Linked DNA regions of Anolis sagrei. The protein of the gene in region 1 interacts with the protein of each later gene in a biochemical or structural test. Links are inferred from orthologs where the notes say so. Each region holds a gene or a part of one and is shown on either strand. Other genes may lie near its edges.

Region 1 (7,933 bases):
TATAGTGGTGCACACCCTGCTGGCCAATTTATAGAACTGCTTAAAAACAATTTCAACAAAATTTACAAATAGGTGGTAACAAAATAGTCAACATAGCCAGAAGATTACATTAGCTAGAATGGAAAGTACAGGAAAATATTGGTCTATCTTGCCTATACTGTTGGAAACCATTCACCAGGTTTTCAGGCAGGAGTTGTTTTCAAAAAAGATTGTGTGGAATGAATGTAGGGCCTTTTGCATGAAATGCAATGTATGGGCTCTGCACCTATATCCTCTCCTTATTTGTTTCTCCAAGAATTAAATCCTTGACTAAAGATAGAAGTAAATCCAATCTTTCTTTCTTTCCTGTTTCAGTTGTCTGTTCAGTTTCTAAGTTCTCCAGATTGGGTTTGGGGCTTGCACAGTGGTCTACTGTAGAAAAGCTGCCTCTTACCAGTTTTGTTGAATGCTGCTATTCTGCCAGTGAAATACCATCACTAGATACTGCCTATAGAGTTCATGCCATTCTAACTGGACATTTGAGACTTCACTCAGGTAGCCAATCAACATAAAGTATGATTTTATTTTCTAGAAAGCACAATTGTGTTATAATCAACAAGTTTATTAAGATTGTTCCTTAAACATCTTGAGTTACACACTATGTTATACTTGGTGTGCCTAATGTATGAATTTCTACAGCTGATTTGCAATTTCTACAACACGTCACATTTTAATCTTAGTAAAGCGATACTCACTTGAATCGTGCAGGAGAGAGTGGGGTAGGAGGAAACATTCCTGGTTCAAAGGAATCAAAGTATGTCACTGTCCAGGAAAAACTGCAGCACGACAGCCCAGCCATTAATGACAGAACAAGAAGAGTCCAAAATCCTTGCAAAAGAAGAGCACAGTAGTAAACATTGAAAGCTTAAAATACAACATTAAAAAGATAATACACAGGAGTTATTGCTAGAAAGTAGAAAAACAAAGGAGGTAACAGGCATACAATTGTCTAAATACAATTCTATCTACACATATTTACTCAGATGATGAATGTGGAATATTCCCATATAATACCTGGACCATTACTTCTTAAACTGAGGGTTCTGGCCTCAAATGGGGTCCCCTTAGCTCTATGTTGGGTTCACGACAAATTTGGTAACAATTTTCTTTCTGAATGCCACCTAGATATTTACAACAACTCTGTTAGCAACAACTCTGCAGAAATCGCTGTAGCTATATTGCACAAAAAAGGAAAACCAGACTGTTCAGCAAGCCTTGCAAATGCTGATTTATTAGTAAGTGTTTGATTTATATAACTTTTTATATACCTATATAGCTGGGGTCACATAAAAATTTCCTGGGAACCTTGCTCCAGATAGTAGCTTCATAGTATTTTTGACTGCTTTATTCATAGCAAACAAGGAGTTAGCTTTCAAAGTACAGGGAATATATGTTGCCTTCAATGGAACGTATATCCCCCCACCCCACACAGTGCTTGTCATTCCAATCCCATTTTTGGAAAAAAAAAATCATTATACTCATAATTACCTCCTCTAAGGTGAGCAATCTCACTATGTTTTTGATTTTCCTATCCTCTGCTGGTTTAGACTGAGATCCTTATAACACTAGATTGCTATAGCAGTATGGTTTCACATAAACTACCATACCAATGGTAGTTAAAGGATCCTGGGATTTGAAGTTTAGGGAAGAGTACCTAGGATTCTCCACCACAGAGGTCTTTCCCCACCCCCCAACTAAAAACCTTGGAAATCTACAATATGTTGCCATGATAGTTAGACGTGAGACATTGTGCTATAAAAATGTAATGTAAGGAAAGAAGGAGGACCCTTATTAAAAAAGGAGGAAGAGGCATTTTTAAATGAGGAAGAATAACTTCTGCTTCTATATAAAGCTCCTCCTCCAGACTATAACAGACCAAGGAGAGCAAGCACATTTGTGAAAGAGAAAACTTAAAAGTTGTTTTTGGTTTTAAGGAAAAATTTAAAAATATAGGTGGTGGTGACCTCAATTATGGTCTTGTGGTTACATTATACCCACCTCACTCTAAAGCACTTAATAATTCATTTTATACTAAGTGAGTGGGTAGAATAACATAAGACACTTAAGGCATAAATCAAGATAACTGTAATGTGATTTCAGCATACATGATTTGTTATAATTTTAAATTTACAAATGTAGGCATGCTTGGAAATATTTTTTTGGAATATGAATGGAATACATATTAGCACTCATTGAACATTATAAACCTCAAATGTAGGATATTTATTTTGATTATTAATTAAGGTGTTGGATAATTTTACTGTTCCTTTAAAAAAGAATCATTTTTAAAATATAGCAGTCATTGATCCAAGAATGAGTAATGCACCAGTAAGTGTTCCACAATGAATGAATTTTAAAAATGTCTTACCTAAAATACTTGTTTCTACAGTATCTTCAGCCCTTGCTTTTTCATATCTCAAATCTGCAAGGAGAAGGCATGGTTATCTACAGTAGCCACTGGGACCTACCCTCAGAAAACATTTTGAATATCTTGCTTATGTTTTTTTTAAGAAAAGAAAATCATTTTGTCTCTTTGCAATCATGAAAATTGGCCACATCCTCTCTTTCCTGAACTTCTCTATGCTGTAGCCTGGGTACATTCACCTGTCTATAAATATATGTACATAGAAACTCCTATGACATCAAGAATGCCTGAGTGAAATTTAGCTTTGAATGTGGTAAATAATATGTATATCGTGTAGAATCAGATCCCATATGATCTTGGAAGCTAAGCATGGTCAGACCTGGTTAGCACTTAGATGGGAGGCTCCCAGTGAAATACAGCCAACAGGTGCTGTTGGCTGTATTTCAGGGAAGAAACTGGTAAAACCACCTCTGAGTATTCATTGCCTAAGAAAACCCAATCAAATACATGGGAACGCCATAAACAGTCAGGTAGTCTAAAGGCATGTGCATGCACACACACACCAGGGCGTGTAACCATCCAATATATTATGAAGCAGGGGCCTAAATACCTAAAAGCACCAGATCTTCTCTGATCTTGGAAGCGAAGTTGTATCAATACTGCTTACTACAAGGATAAAGGACCATCAAGGATTGATGGATGCTGTATACTTTATTTCAGATGAAGAAACTATCAAAACCTCTGAGTATTCCTTGCCCTTCACAGGCAATGCGACGACAAACACTACGCACATACTATAAATAATAATAGCAAAGACTGAGGTATCCGTTTATCCAATATGGGGGATATTTTTCTTCTAAAATTCCAGAGGTTGGCACTATATTTGTATTAATAAGCTACAACTGAGTCTTGCTTTCCTGTGAACTCACTGTGAACCTTTAGCCAATCACGCATGACCCATCATAACTATGCTTGCGTAGGGTGACAGTAAACTTTAGAATTAATTCAGATTGACACCGCTTTAACTGCCATGGCTCAATGCTATGGAATCCTGGGAGCTTGGTGAGGCACCAGCACCTTTTGGCCCCATCTAGTAAAGGTTTCCCCTGACATTAAGTCTATTCGTGTCCAACTCTGGGCGGTGGTGGGGGGTGCTCATCTCAATTTCTAAGCCAAAGAGCCGGTGTTGTTCGTCGACGTCTTCAAGGTCATGTGGCTAGCATGACTGCATGGAGCACTGCTACCTTCCCGCAGAAGTGATACCTATTGATCTACCCACATTTTGCATGTTTTCGAACTGCTAGATTGGCAGAAGCTGAGGGTAATAGTGGGGGCTCACCCCGCTTCCTGGATTTGAACCGCTGACCTTTCAGTCAGTAAAGTTCATCAGCTCAGCAGTTTAACCTGCTGTGCCACCAGGGGGACATTTGGCCCCATCTACAATGCTGTATAATGTACGTCACTGTACTGAACTGTATTATACGAGTCTACACTGCCATAGAATGCAGTTCAATGGAAGTGCAGATGGGGCTTCTGGCAGAACAGGCCAAAGACCTTGTAAACCTATAACTCTTGGGAAGAATTGCATTGATCCATGGCAGTTAAACTGGGTGTCAAACTGCATTCCTCCTCCAGTGCAGCCATGTTGCATCAGATCCAGTTCAGGAGTGAACCACTTTGGGGCTTAAGCGATTGAGGGGGGGAAGGACGGGGCCTGGGGCTGTTTGGAATTGTGGGAGTGGGGAGCCAGAACTCCTGGAGGGCCCAATTTGGCGTTTCTCGGCGGGTTCCGAGCGCCCCCCGCCCCCCCAGCGCTCACCTCTCAGCACCAGGCAGCCGAGGGCGAGCAAGAAGGCCAGGAAGGTCACGGCCAGGAGGCAGCAGAACACAGCGCAGATCCTGCTGGGCCACCGGCGCCCGGGGAGCGACACCCCGAGCAGGCCCGCCCGAGGAGAATTCGCGGGGGAGGCCTCGTAGCTTCGCCCAAGGCCGCCCAGCACGCCTCCCGCACCCCCTCCCTCGCCCTCCTCCTCCTCCTCGAAGTCCGCCTCCAGGGTCCGCGCCACCCCGCCTCCGTCCGGCGTCCAAGCCGCGCTAGGCCCGCTCTGGCTGGAGCCCCGATAGGACGCTGCCATGGCAACCGAACACTCAGGCAGGAGGGGCGGGGGAAGCAGAGGCCCACCACTCGGCCTACACCGGAAGTCTAGGCAAGAAAAAAGGTGGGTGGGGAAATCTAGAAGCCCCGCCTTTTCCTGCGTAACGGCAACGAGTGGCCTCCCATCATGCTCCGCGCCTTGAACCCTCCCCTTTTCTTAACCCTCACAACGGCTCTCCTTTCTCTTTGCCCGCCCCCTCCTCCTTTCCCTGGGCTAAGGAAGGGCCCTCTTGGGCTTCCGTAGCCCTGCTAGCGGAAGCCGCTTTCCCAGTGTCCTTTGCGCGGCCCGTCTCTTTTTTTCCCTCCCCTCCCCCTTCCCGCCTGTGCTTCCCATTCCTCCGCCTGAGGCCTTCTTCTGGTGGGACGAGGCCCGGCCTTGCCCGCCTGCCCGCGCCGCTTTGGCCTCCTGCGGCGAGGAAGACACAAGAGGGTTTTTTTGTTTGTTTCTCGGCCCCGCCCGCGCCGTAGGCTGACTTTCGACGACAAAGCCGCCCCCCTCCCCCCACTCCGCGCGCAAATTTCCCCCCCGGGGAGTTCCTTCCGCGCCCCTCTCCTCAGGCAAGCAGGCAGGCAGGCCGGGCCTAGGCGCTCGCTCGAGAGAGAAAGGGAGGGAGGCCGCCCGGCCGGCCATGTCAGGCGGGGACTCGGCGGCGGCCTCCCCGCAGGCGCTGCCCTTCTCGCTGCCCAAGCCGCCCCCCCTCATGCAGCTCAACCCGGGCGAGGGCGTCCGGCCGGGCCCTGAGCAGTCGCCCAAGAGAGGCCGCGGCCCCGACTGGCCCTCCGGGAAGCCCGTCAGCCTCTTGGCGCCGCTCCTGCCCCCGCGCGGGGAGCCCGAGCCCCTACTGCCCTTCGGGCCCGCTTCCCGCCAGCCGCTCCGGGGAAGGATGCTCGGCAGGTGCGGAGGAGGAGGAGGCGGCCCCGGAGGAGGAGGAGGCCCCGGAGGCGGGGGGAACCCTCTCAACCCGGCCATGAGGCCCGGAGGAGGAGGAGGAGGACCCGGTGGAGGCGGAGGTGGCGGCGGCGGCATGGGCCGAGACGCCCTCATGGTGAGTTTTGGCGTGGCCCTTGACCCCCACGCAGACTTAATGCAGCCTGGCGCCGCTTCACGTGCCTGCACACAATGCCTTGGGACTTACATGCCAAAAAGTGCCGGCGCCTCACCAAACTCCAAACTCCCAGGATTCCATAGCGGTTACAGTAATGCCAGGCAGCATTCATTCTCGTGCCCGTTTGGTTGCCGACCCTCAACTACACCCCCAACACTTTCCTCCAACCCGCTTTCGCAAGCCTCCCAATTTTGTGTGGTATTTATCCCTTTATGTCCTGTGGTCAAGAGCCCCTGGTGGTGCAATGGGTTAAACCAGTGGTTCTTAACTTGTGGGTCCCTAGATGTTTTGGTCTTTAACTCTCAAAAATCCTAACAAGTGATAAACTGGCTGGGATTTCTGGATGTTGTAGGCCAAAACACCTGGGTACCCACAGGTTGAGAACCACTGGGTTAAACCCTTACGCAACTGAACTGGTCGACCAAAAGGTTGGCAGTTCGAACCTAGGGAGCAGGGTAAGCTCATGTCAGTCAAGCTCCAGCTCCCCATGCAGGGACACAAGAGAAGCCTCCCACAAGGATGGTAAAACATCAAACATCTGGGCATCTGCTGGGCAATGTTCTTGCAAACAGTCAATTCTCTCACCCAGAAATGACTTGCAGTTTCTCAAGTCACTCCTGACACACACAAAAAACCTGGGGATCTATGGACCACCAGGACTAAAATATGGTCTGCATCCTCACTGTTACTACACCATTGCAATGAGAATGACTGGTCTAGCAAAACCCTCTTATAGTGCATAATAATAATCTTTATTTATATCCTGCCACCATCTCCCCAATGGGGACGCAGGGCGGCTAACATGAGGCCAAGCCCAAAAATACAATACAGCAAAATAAAATAGAAAGCAACAAAAATTACATCACAATAAGATACATGAAGTAACAAAATAAAATAAGTATTTAGTCACACCTAAATCTTTATGTACCAGGAAAATGTTTTGAATGGGTTCGTAGGTTGGTTGCTAAGCAATTTAGAGGTAGATACAGTACTTGATAATTGGTTCAAGTTCCAGATTCAATGTGTTCACTGCTAGTGGAGTAGAAAGGTAATATTTTCTTGATTCCTGTTAATATATAAACTTGTTATTGTACCTTTATAAAGCCATTTTTGTACCCTGACGCATGAGTGCTTTGAAGTCCTTTAAACCCTTAAGTCTGGACATAGGAAAATGTCAGAACCAAAAGCAATTTATGTAGACAAATGGAGGCTCAATGTAAGAAAAAGTTATTTTGCATGTGTGGTATTCCACACAATTGGTTTTATTACTCTTTTCTTCAGTCTCAGACAGCTTTATTATCTTCATGATGACTAGTAGTCATGTGCATTTGGGACATACCTTAATCCGTTTTGTGTCCCGGCTTTAGGTGGGGGGCCCAATCCGTTTTTGTCTGAGCCTCCTGAATTCGGGAGGTCAGATATTTTTGTTTTTGTTTTCAGGGCCAAAAGATCTGTTTTCTTTCAGCCTATTGTTGAGGGAGGAGACTTCACCCGTAGGCCCAAACTGCCTGAGCCTGTGGGTGCAGGCTTTGGGCCTATGCACCTGGGCCTTGCAAGGTCTGCAGCTGAGTGCCAAGTAAGGAGCGCTCCTTACTGAGTGCTCAGCTGCAGGCCCTGCGAGGCCGAATGCATAGCCCCACAGCTTGCACCTGTAGGACTGGGCACTTCGTACCTATGGGTGCAGGCTTCCTGGCCTACATGCCTGGGCCTGGGAGGGCCTGCAGCCAAACACCAAGTAAGGAGCACTTCTTACTCAGTGCTCGGCTGCAGGCACTGCCAGGCCCCAGGCAATTGATACAAAAAGCAGGCTTGGAACTGGTACCCACTCCCACCCCTGCCTTTCGTATTGATTGCATTTTCATTCCAGGTAAAACATGATGTTTTGGTGCTTCATTTGTAAAATTATAATATGTATTGAATAGGCTTTCCTTAATCCTTCCTTATTATCCAACATTTTCACTTAACCAATGTTCTGCCGGCCCATTTATGTTGGGTCCTACAGTATATATTGTATACAGTCAGTCTTCCCATATTTTCAGGTTTTGATTTGGTGATTTGAGTATGCACTGATTAATTGAAATGTTTTCTCATGAGAATATCTGTGCCTTCCAGTGCAACTTCTGTCGGAATCACACTGGAGGACCAAGACCAGCTCTCTAGGAATCACTAGATTGCTCCAGCATGATACTAGCCGAAGTTGACCATAGAATCATGCTGAGGAACCTAGAGATTCCTGGAGAGGTGTATTCTCGGGCTTCTAAAAATAAT
Region 2 (7,666 bases), on another chromosome or scaffold:
TTAATTTCATCATGGCTTAAATGCTCATATAATTAGAATAATTGCACATATTGCACTGCACCTTTTGATTGATCAATAAAAGATCACCACAAGATTTTGGAGATTTATATAAATCTGGAAACACTGGAATCTTGTACATATTTATTTTGCTGTGACCTGATTATTTCAGTGTGGCTTTTTTCAGAAGATATATTCAGTATTGTATTTAGAATGAAATCTATTTACATTTACTTAGGAGCAATACTTATAGAGCACAACAGAACTCACTTCTGCTAAACAATCATAGAACTGTACTGTCAGTATGCTTGGATGATGGTTTTAGTATAAAGACTATATTTTTCTGGCAAATACTTACACAAATAAAAAAAATCACAGAAATATTTCCCACAAAATAATCTTAATCATTGAAATTTTAGTATAAGGAAAATACAAACATATAAAACAGTTGAAACACACAAATATATTCTAAAACCTGTCACAATACTTTTCGGCTGGAATGACTGCATACTACAAATAAAAAATATATTTAAACTTTTATATATTTTTACTGTAGTCCTGATTCTTCTCATTTCCCGCATTATGTTAAAAGCTATAGAACAAAAGGCATTTAGAAGGAAATTATCTTTTTAAAATATTTATGAAAGGGCTGAGTTTTACAAAACAGAGTAATGAGGAAAATGTGTTAAAATGCTGTAAGCAACATGTAATTTGTGAAACAGATTGGTCTACAAGTTCATTTTTAAAAGGAACACTATTGTGATTCAAATTAGTGTGTCAAACATATGTAGGGACAGTGCAGCTTTGTTGCAGGGTTGAGATTGTATTGTTTGTGTGCATGTGCGAAGTGATTGTATAGGACATCATATGGATCCACTGAATGACTCAGCCATATTTCTATATAAATAGTGGGTGGGAGAATAGGATTCCAATCTGAGTAAGACTGTGATCATTAAGAGAATAACAGAGGGACTCTGACATGTTTATCCAGTTCAAATGGACGTGAAAAGACATGACTGTAGTTCAGTTGATGAAACTAGGACAGTTTTAGGTTGGCTGAGAAAAAAAATTGTAGGGCTTCCATGTGTTTAGCAGGTATTCTGAATTTAGTAAATGATGGTTTATCTGTCATGCATGTACACTGACATTAGGTTATATATGTAGAATAATTTTTTTGTCACAGATATACTAAAAACCCACGTGTCTTATAAGAAATGAATTTTGGAAAATGTAGTTGTGAAACAAATAGTGGCCAGAGAAAACTTCTGGTGTGATGTGGAAGGATTGCAGAGATAATAGATACGATGGACACAATTCTTGTGGACTTTGGTTTTAAAAATGTGAAATTATGCACATCATCAACATTCTTATTTTTAAACCTAGAAAATTAAATTCTGCTTGACAGCTTTTGTATTGGGCCTCCAGCATCAAGGTTTCTATACATTTGTGGACTTCAACATTCAGTAGGGGGCAGATGCGTGTCTAATGCATGCACATGGCAAATGACGGGACAGTAAAGTTTCCTGTTGTTTCATTTCCACACCTTTCCCACTCTAGTGATCTGTTCGTTTTCACTTGTATCTGCGTATTTATTTGGCATGTTATCAAAGCGACATTCAAGAGAAGTAGTCATTCCCAACACTGCTCACCATTATGAGGGAGAAAGGCATATCTTGCCCAACTGACAGCAATTGGTTGCCTTGCGGCCTTCAACATCAGTTCTGTTTCTCCTAGTGGTATGAGCCACATCAAGCACGTCTTCCACTAGGTTTCCTCCATCTCACTTATTTTGCATAAATGAATGTTATGTGGTAGCTTTTTATAGCACAAACATGGCTACACTGCTTTTAGAACAGGATACTCATATGAAGTGTATGTCTGGATTTACAGCTGACATTTCATATTCCTGGATTTCACATTTGCGGATTTGATTACTATGTTGTAAGAATGTCTAGATTCTCCAGCACAATTATACAATCAACGTCCACTGGAAGTTAATCATAAAGTCATGGTGACTTAGAAATTCCTAAAGTTATGTTCTCTCAGGTTAAAAAAACACCCTTTAAAATTCAATTTTTTCCACATTCATTGCTATACACTGAATCTGTCATGTTTCTGAATCTGTAAGTTAAAGTGAATTATTCTAATTTTCTGGGGAGCAAGCACCATTTTATCCAAAGGAAATTATATTGGAATAGACACTATGTAGGATTGCACTGTTAAAAGTACCAAAAGCCAAATGTTCATAATGATATTACTTGATGGTCATGTTTATGTAACTGTCTCTGTGTTTAATACAATATGGTAAACAAATGATACATTTTTATTTATAAAATTGTGATTTGAAGAAAATTTATTTGCCCAATCACTGACAACAGCCTAAAAGAATGGATTTTAGTTTTAGTTTGCGGTTTTAATCTACGGAATAAATTGTTTTTTGCGTCACGTATTACGTGTGTTGCGGGTTTATAATTTTATCAGATATGTTCTGATCTGTTGGTTATGTTTATTTTTATGTATGTTTTATTTACATGGTGTTGGCTGCTTTAAGTTCCGATTCGGAAGAAAAGTAGAAATAAATTCCGATTCGGAAGAAAAGTAGAAATAAATAAATAAGACTGGCATGACACTCTGCAATACCTGCTGAATTGAACACTATTTGTGTCTTAATATTTGCACTAAAATGTGTAATGCAAGGCCAGAAAGTTATTTTTGTTCTTTACAATATATTCTGTCTACAGGGGCGGCTCAACCCATTACGCAAAGTAAGCATTTGCAGTATAGTTGATTTTGCCCAGGAGTGCTCTTGAGGCATTCTTGGGGGAAAATAGACCTTGACATATGCCAGTTGTAGTTACTGGGATGTACAGTTCACCTACAATCAAAGAGCATTCTGAACTTCACCAATGATGGAATTGAACCAAATATGGCACACAGAACTCCCACGACGAACAGAAAATATATATCAATGATTGGTTGGGGGGAGGCGCCAAAATACTGTTTGCTTACTGTTGAAAATTACCTAGGGCCGCCTCTGTCTGTCTACTTGATCTTTATGAAACAAATTGCATTATAAGAATAATAATGGGAGAATTCAAGGTATTATTGGCTATATGCGAGTCAGTAGCGAGCCACTTCTTGAGTATTCCTTGCTAAAGAAAATCTTATGAAATTGACAGGGTTTCTATAAGTCAAGAGGCTGTTTAAGGACACACAGAGGAATAAACTAGTTTTAACAGTTCTGTCAGGAATATGAAAATAAATCACATCACGTCCTTTCTCCAGATATTAAAGGGTGTCTATTGTATCCTTTAGTGCAGGGGTCCTCAAACTTTTTAAGCAGAGGGCCAGGTCACAGTCCTTCAAACTGTTGGAGGGCCAGATTATAATTTGAAAAAAGCATGAATTAATTGAATTAATTCCTATGCACGCTGCATGTATTTTATTTGTAGTACAAAAAGCACTTAAAAACAATACAATAATTAAAATGAAGCATGAATTAATTCCTATGCACGCTGCACATATTTTATTTGTAGTGCAAAAAACACTTAAAAACAATACAAGAATTAAAATGAAGAACAATTTTAACAAATATAAACTTATTAGTATTTCAATGGGAAGTGTGGGCCTGCTTTTGGCTGCTGAGAAAGGATTGCTGTTGTGTGCTTTCAAGACTTAGGTCAACCCTGAACGAGGGCTGGGTAAATGACCTTGTAGGGCTGTATTCGGCCCTCGGGCCTTAGTTTGAGGACCCCTGCTTTAGTGTTTAGCTTTGAAAATAGGACAGGGATTTTTGTTTGTTATTCTCACCTGAGAGGGAGTGTTTTTTTCCCCATCTAGAGCTGCAGCACATCTGCTTTCCAATAAGAGGTATGTCAGCAAAGGCACACTATTTCCTATCCCTGCAGTGAAGCACATCGCCCCAGCTGGCCTCTTATGGTGGTGAATTTGCCACTAGGAATTCTGCCACTGCTGTGGTAAAGATGTATGCGGTGCTTTACAGGTGTGGGTGAGAACGCTGGACCATCTGAGGAGGAAACAAAATGCCTGTGATGTGGGTAAAACAGTCCTTGGGGGAATCTGTGCTGTCACGGTACAAGAATTGCTGTCATTCACGGAAATATATTATTTGTCCAGTTCGGCTGTTCAAAGGCCCTGAGGTGAATTGCGACCGTCTGTTGGTCTTCTCAGGAAGCTGTGGGAACATGACCTTGATGCTACTTGATGGGCCACATGAAAGGGACAGCCCTGACATATGCTGAGAAGGTTGCTCGCATGACGACAGGGAGCGGCCTGCTCAGGGGCGGCATTTCCAAACCCTTGAGGCCTGGTGGCGAGAGAGGGCCAATGGCGAAGAGCGCGGGCTCCTCTCCGCGGCCTACTTCGTACCGTTGTAACTGACAGCGCTTCCCGCCAATTCTAACGGCCGCAAGGAAGCAGGGCCGCCTCGCCCGTGTGGAAAGGCGCCGGCCAATCGCTCTCGGGGGGCGCCCTGACTGATGGGGCGCGCCGCCCAATGGCAGCCGAGGAGGGCGGGGCCTGGCTCTCCGGGTTTCCTCTCCGGCTCGGTTTCCCCCCCTCCTCTCCCCCCCCTCCCGCGGGTTCTTCGCTGCGAAGAAAATGGCGGCGGCGGCGCCGAGCGGAGATGAGGAGAGATTGTGAGTGACTCGAGGGGAAGGGGTGGGGGAGAGCCGGGCCGGACCATCGAGCCCCTGGCGCGGGGGGTCCGGGCGGGACCATCTGTGGCGTCCGGAGAGGGGGGAGAGGTGCGAGGCAGGGCTGCGGCCGCTGGGCTGCCTCTTTTTTTTCCCGCTCGCGGGCGCCCTCCCCTCCCCTCCCCTCCCTTCGCCTAGCCCTCCCTCCCGCCTGCCTTCCCTCCTGCGCGCGCCCAGGGCCCCTGAGTGCGTCACAGCGGTCCCCTCTGCCCAGCAATGGGAGGGGCCGGCCTTTCCGCAAGGAGGGAGGGGAGGGGGAGAGGGGCCCGGGTCAGGGGTCACGCCGAACGAATTCCTGGCGCGCGCGCCTGAATGGCCCCTTCAGGCAGCCTCCTCCTCCTCCTCCTCGCAGGGGGCCCTCCTCACTGCCTGAAGCTGCTACTTGCCCGACAGGCCCTTCAGGGACCTGCTCACACCAACTTCGCCAACGCAGGCTCCAGGTTGTTGGGGCCATTGGGCAGCATGTCTTTGCGGGAAGGCTGTATTTCAGGGCTCTCCTCTTGTGAAGGGCCCGACCAGGCCTACCCTGTGTACCACCAAGGGCCCTTCCACACAGCCACATAATCCAAAACATCGAGGCTGAACATCCCACCATATCTGCTTTGAATGGGTTTATCTGAGGGCCCTTCCACACAACCTTCCACACAGCCACGTAATCCAGAATATCAAGGCAGAAAATCCCACCAAACCTTTGAATGGGGTTATCTAAAGGCCTTTCCACACAGCCACATAACCCAGAATATCAAGGCAGAACATCCCACCATATCTGCTTTGAGTGGGGTTATCTGAGGGCCCTTCCACACAGCCACATAACCCAGAATATCAAGGCAGAACATCCCACCATTTCTGCTTTGAATGGGGTTATCTGAGGGCCCTTCCAAATAGCTACATAACCCAGAATATCAAGCAGAAAATCCCACCATTTCTGCTTTGATTGGGGTTATCTGAGGGCCCTTCCACACAGCTACATAACCAGAATATTAAGGCAGAAAATCCCACCAAACCTTCTTTGAATGGGGTTATCTAAAGGCCCTTCCACACAACCATATGGCCCAGGGCGCTTCCACACACCCCTATATCCCAGAATGTAAAGGCAGAAAATCCCACCAAACCTTCTTTGAATGGGGCTATCTAAAGGCCTTTCAACAGAACCATATAACCCAGAATATCAAGGCAGAAAATCCCACCATATTTGCATTGAATTGGGTTATCTCAAGGCCCTTCCACACAGCCATATAACCCAGAATATCAAAGCAGAAAATCCCATCATATCTGAATTGAATGGGGTTATCTGAGGGCCCTTCCACACAGCCATATGACCCAGGGCCCTTCCACACACCCCTATATCCCAGAATATCAAGGCAGAAAATCCCACCATATCCGCATTGAATGGGGTTATCTGAGGTCCCTTCCACACAGCCATATAACCCCGAAAATATCAAGCCAGAAAATCCCACCATGTCTGCATTGAATGGGGTTATCTGAGGTCCCTTCCACACAGCCATATAACCCCGAAAATATCAAGCCAGAAAATCCCACCATATCTGCATTGAATGGGGTTATCTGAGTCCACACTCAGATAATGTGGGATTTTCTGTCTTTATATTCTGGGATATAGGGCTGTGTGGAAGGGCCCTCTGTCATCTTTAAAAGCCTTATTGAAGAAAAGGGTTTCTAAGTCCACACTGCCATATAATTCAGTTCAATGTGGATTTTATACAGCTGTGTTGGAGGGACCTTAGAATTGCGGGAACTTTTAATATACTGTTTTTTCTCGATTCAAAAGCTCACTTTCCCCTCAAATAAACATATCTACAAATGGGGTATCTCTTAGTATTGATATGTATAGATATATAGATACAGTTTTTCTGTTGCTGTGCTAGAATTAATGTGCACGTTATAATCAATGGTGGTTTATAATGGATAAATACGGTATCTAAATGAAAAAAATTCTGTTGGTGATCCTGAATTTCTTACAACTGATTGCATCTTACAGTCAAGGAAATACATTATATTTATATACAGAGCTGCTCTGTAACATTGTCTGAAGAGTGTATGATATTTGTGAACTGCTGCTGACTTGTGGTCACCAGTGAATTTGTGATGAGGGGACAACTCTTGTGAAGAATAGCCACCTGGGCATGGGTGATGTATGGGGTCAGCATCCTCTGGAGGTGGAGATCAAGTGATCAGAGAAAACGGTTGCTCAGTTGCTTTCAGTAGCCTCAGTGGTCCAGTCCTTATCTCTTTCCACTGAGATATAGGCCTTCATAGGTTGGTGACTAATTGGAGTGAAGAGTACTGGTTCCTTGTGACCATCGTTTATTCAAAAATATAAGTCCATTGTGTGTCAGTCCTCTGAGGCAGGGTACTATGTAAGTGTCTAGGTCCATAAACAAATCACAAGTACATTTCCTTTCCCAATCTTGGTGGGGAGAATTGGGGTGTGATGATTGGAAATAATGGCCTTTACTGCTCTTGGTTAATCATTTATTCTCATTTTGGGGACTCTACTTGCTCAATGGCTTTATCTCTTTGTGCAGCTTAGGGTGGACCAAGTGTGGTGTCTGAGACCAATGTGAATTGATAAGTGGAGTCTGTAATGGTTTGAATCAGAACCACTATAACTTCTGCTTGCTTGTACTTTCCTCTCCCTCTGGTAGTCATGCTAAGAAGGATTGGATTTGCTGAGTCAAATGCCCTCGTTTTTATCTTGCAGAAAGGGAAAGAATATAGGGAATAGTTCATTAGTTCATTGGATACGGGCAATAGTTCATTTTACTTGTAGTGCTACAGAGCCAGCCCTCACTGCCAGAGTGCCTAAACTAAGAGGGCAAACAAGTGAAAGGGCATAGATGATCTGTTCATAACATAGTATTGATGGTCGTACTACCCCATGTTCTACTTGTTATTTAGCCCAAAAAGAAGGATAGAGGCACGAGGAGCATCTGGTT

What was found.
Region 2: the proteins of PRPF40A (region 1) and MECP2 form a complex in vitro, tested with the Homo sapiens proteins (2 studies listed by BioGRID, with this or other methods). The link is inferred for Anolis sagrei from reciprocal best matches to the Homo sapiens genes PRPF40A and MECP2.

The regions. Positions count from the first base shown.
Region 1 is NC_090021.1:204,089,639-204,097,571, forward strand, and holds the start of PRPF40A (pre-mRNA-processing factor 40 homolog A), read left to right. Parts: upstream 1-4,909; 5' UTR 4,910-5,188; coding exon 5,189-5,605; intron 5,606-7,933. Other genes in the region: ARL6IP6 (ADP-ribosylation factor-like protein 6-interacting protein 6), read right to left, coding at 735-867, 2,408-2,461, 4,224-4,539.
Region 2 is NC_090022.1:175,856,525-175,864,190, forward strand, and holds the start of MECP2 (methyl-CpG-binding protein 2), read left to right. Parts: upstream 1-4,563; 5' UTR 4,564-4,617; coding exon 4,618-4,655; intron 4,656-7,666. UniProt on the Homo sapiens protein: Chromosomal protein that binds to methylated DNA. It can bind specifically to a single methyl-CpG pair. It is not influenced by sequences flanking the methyl-CpGs.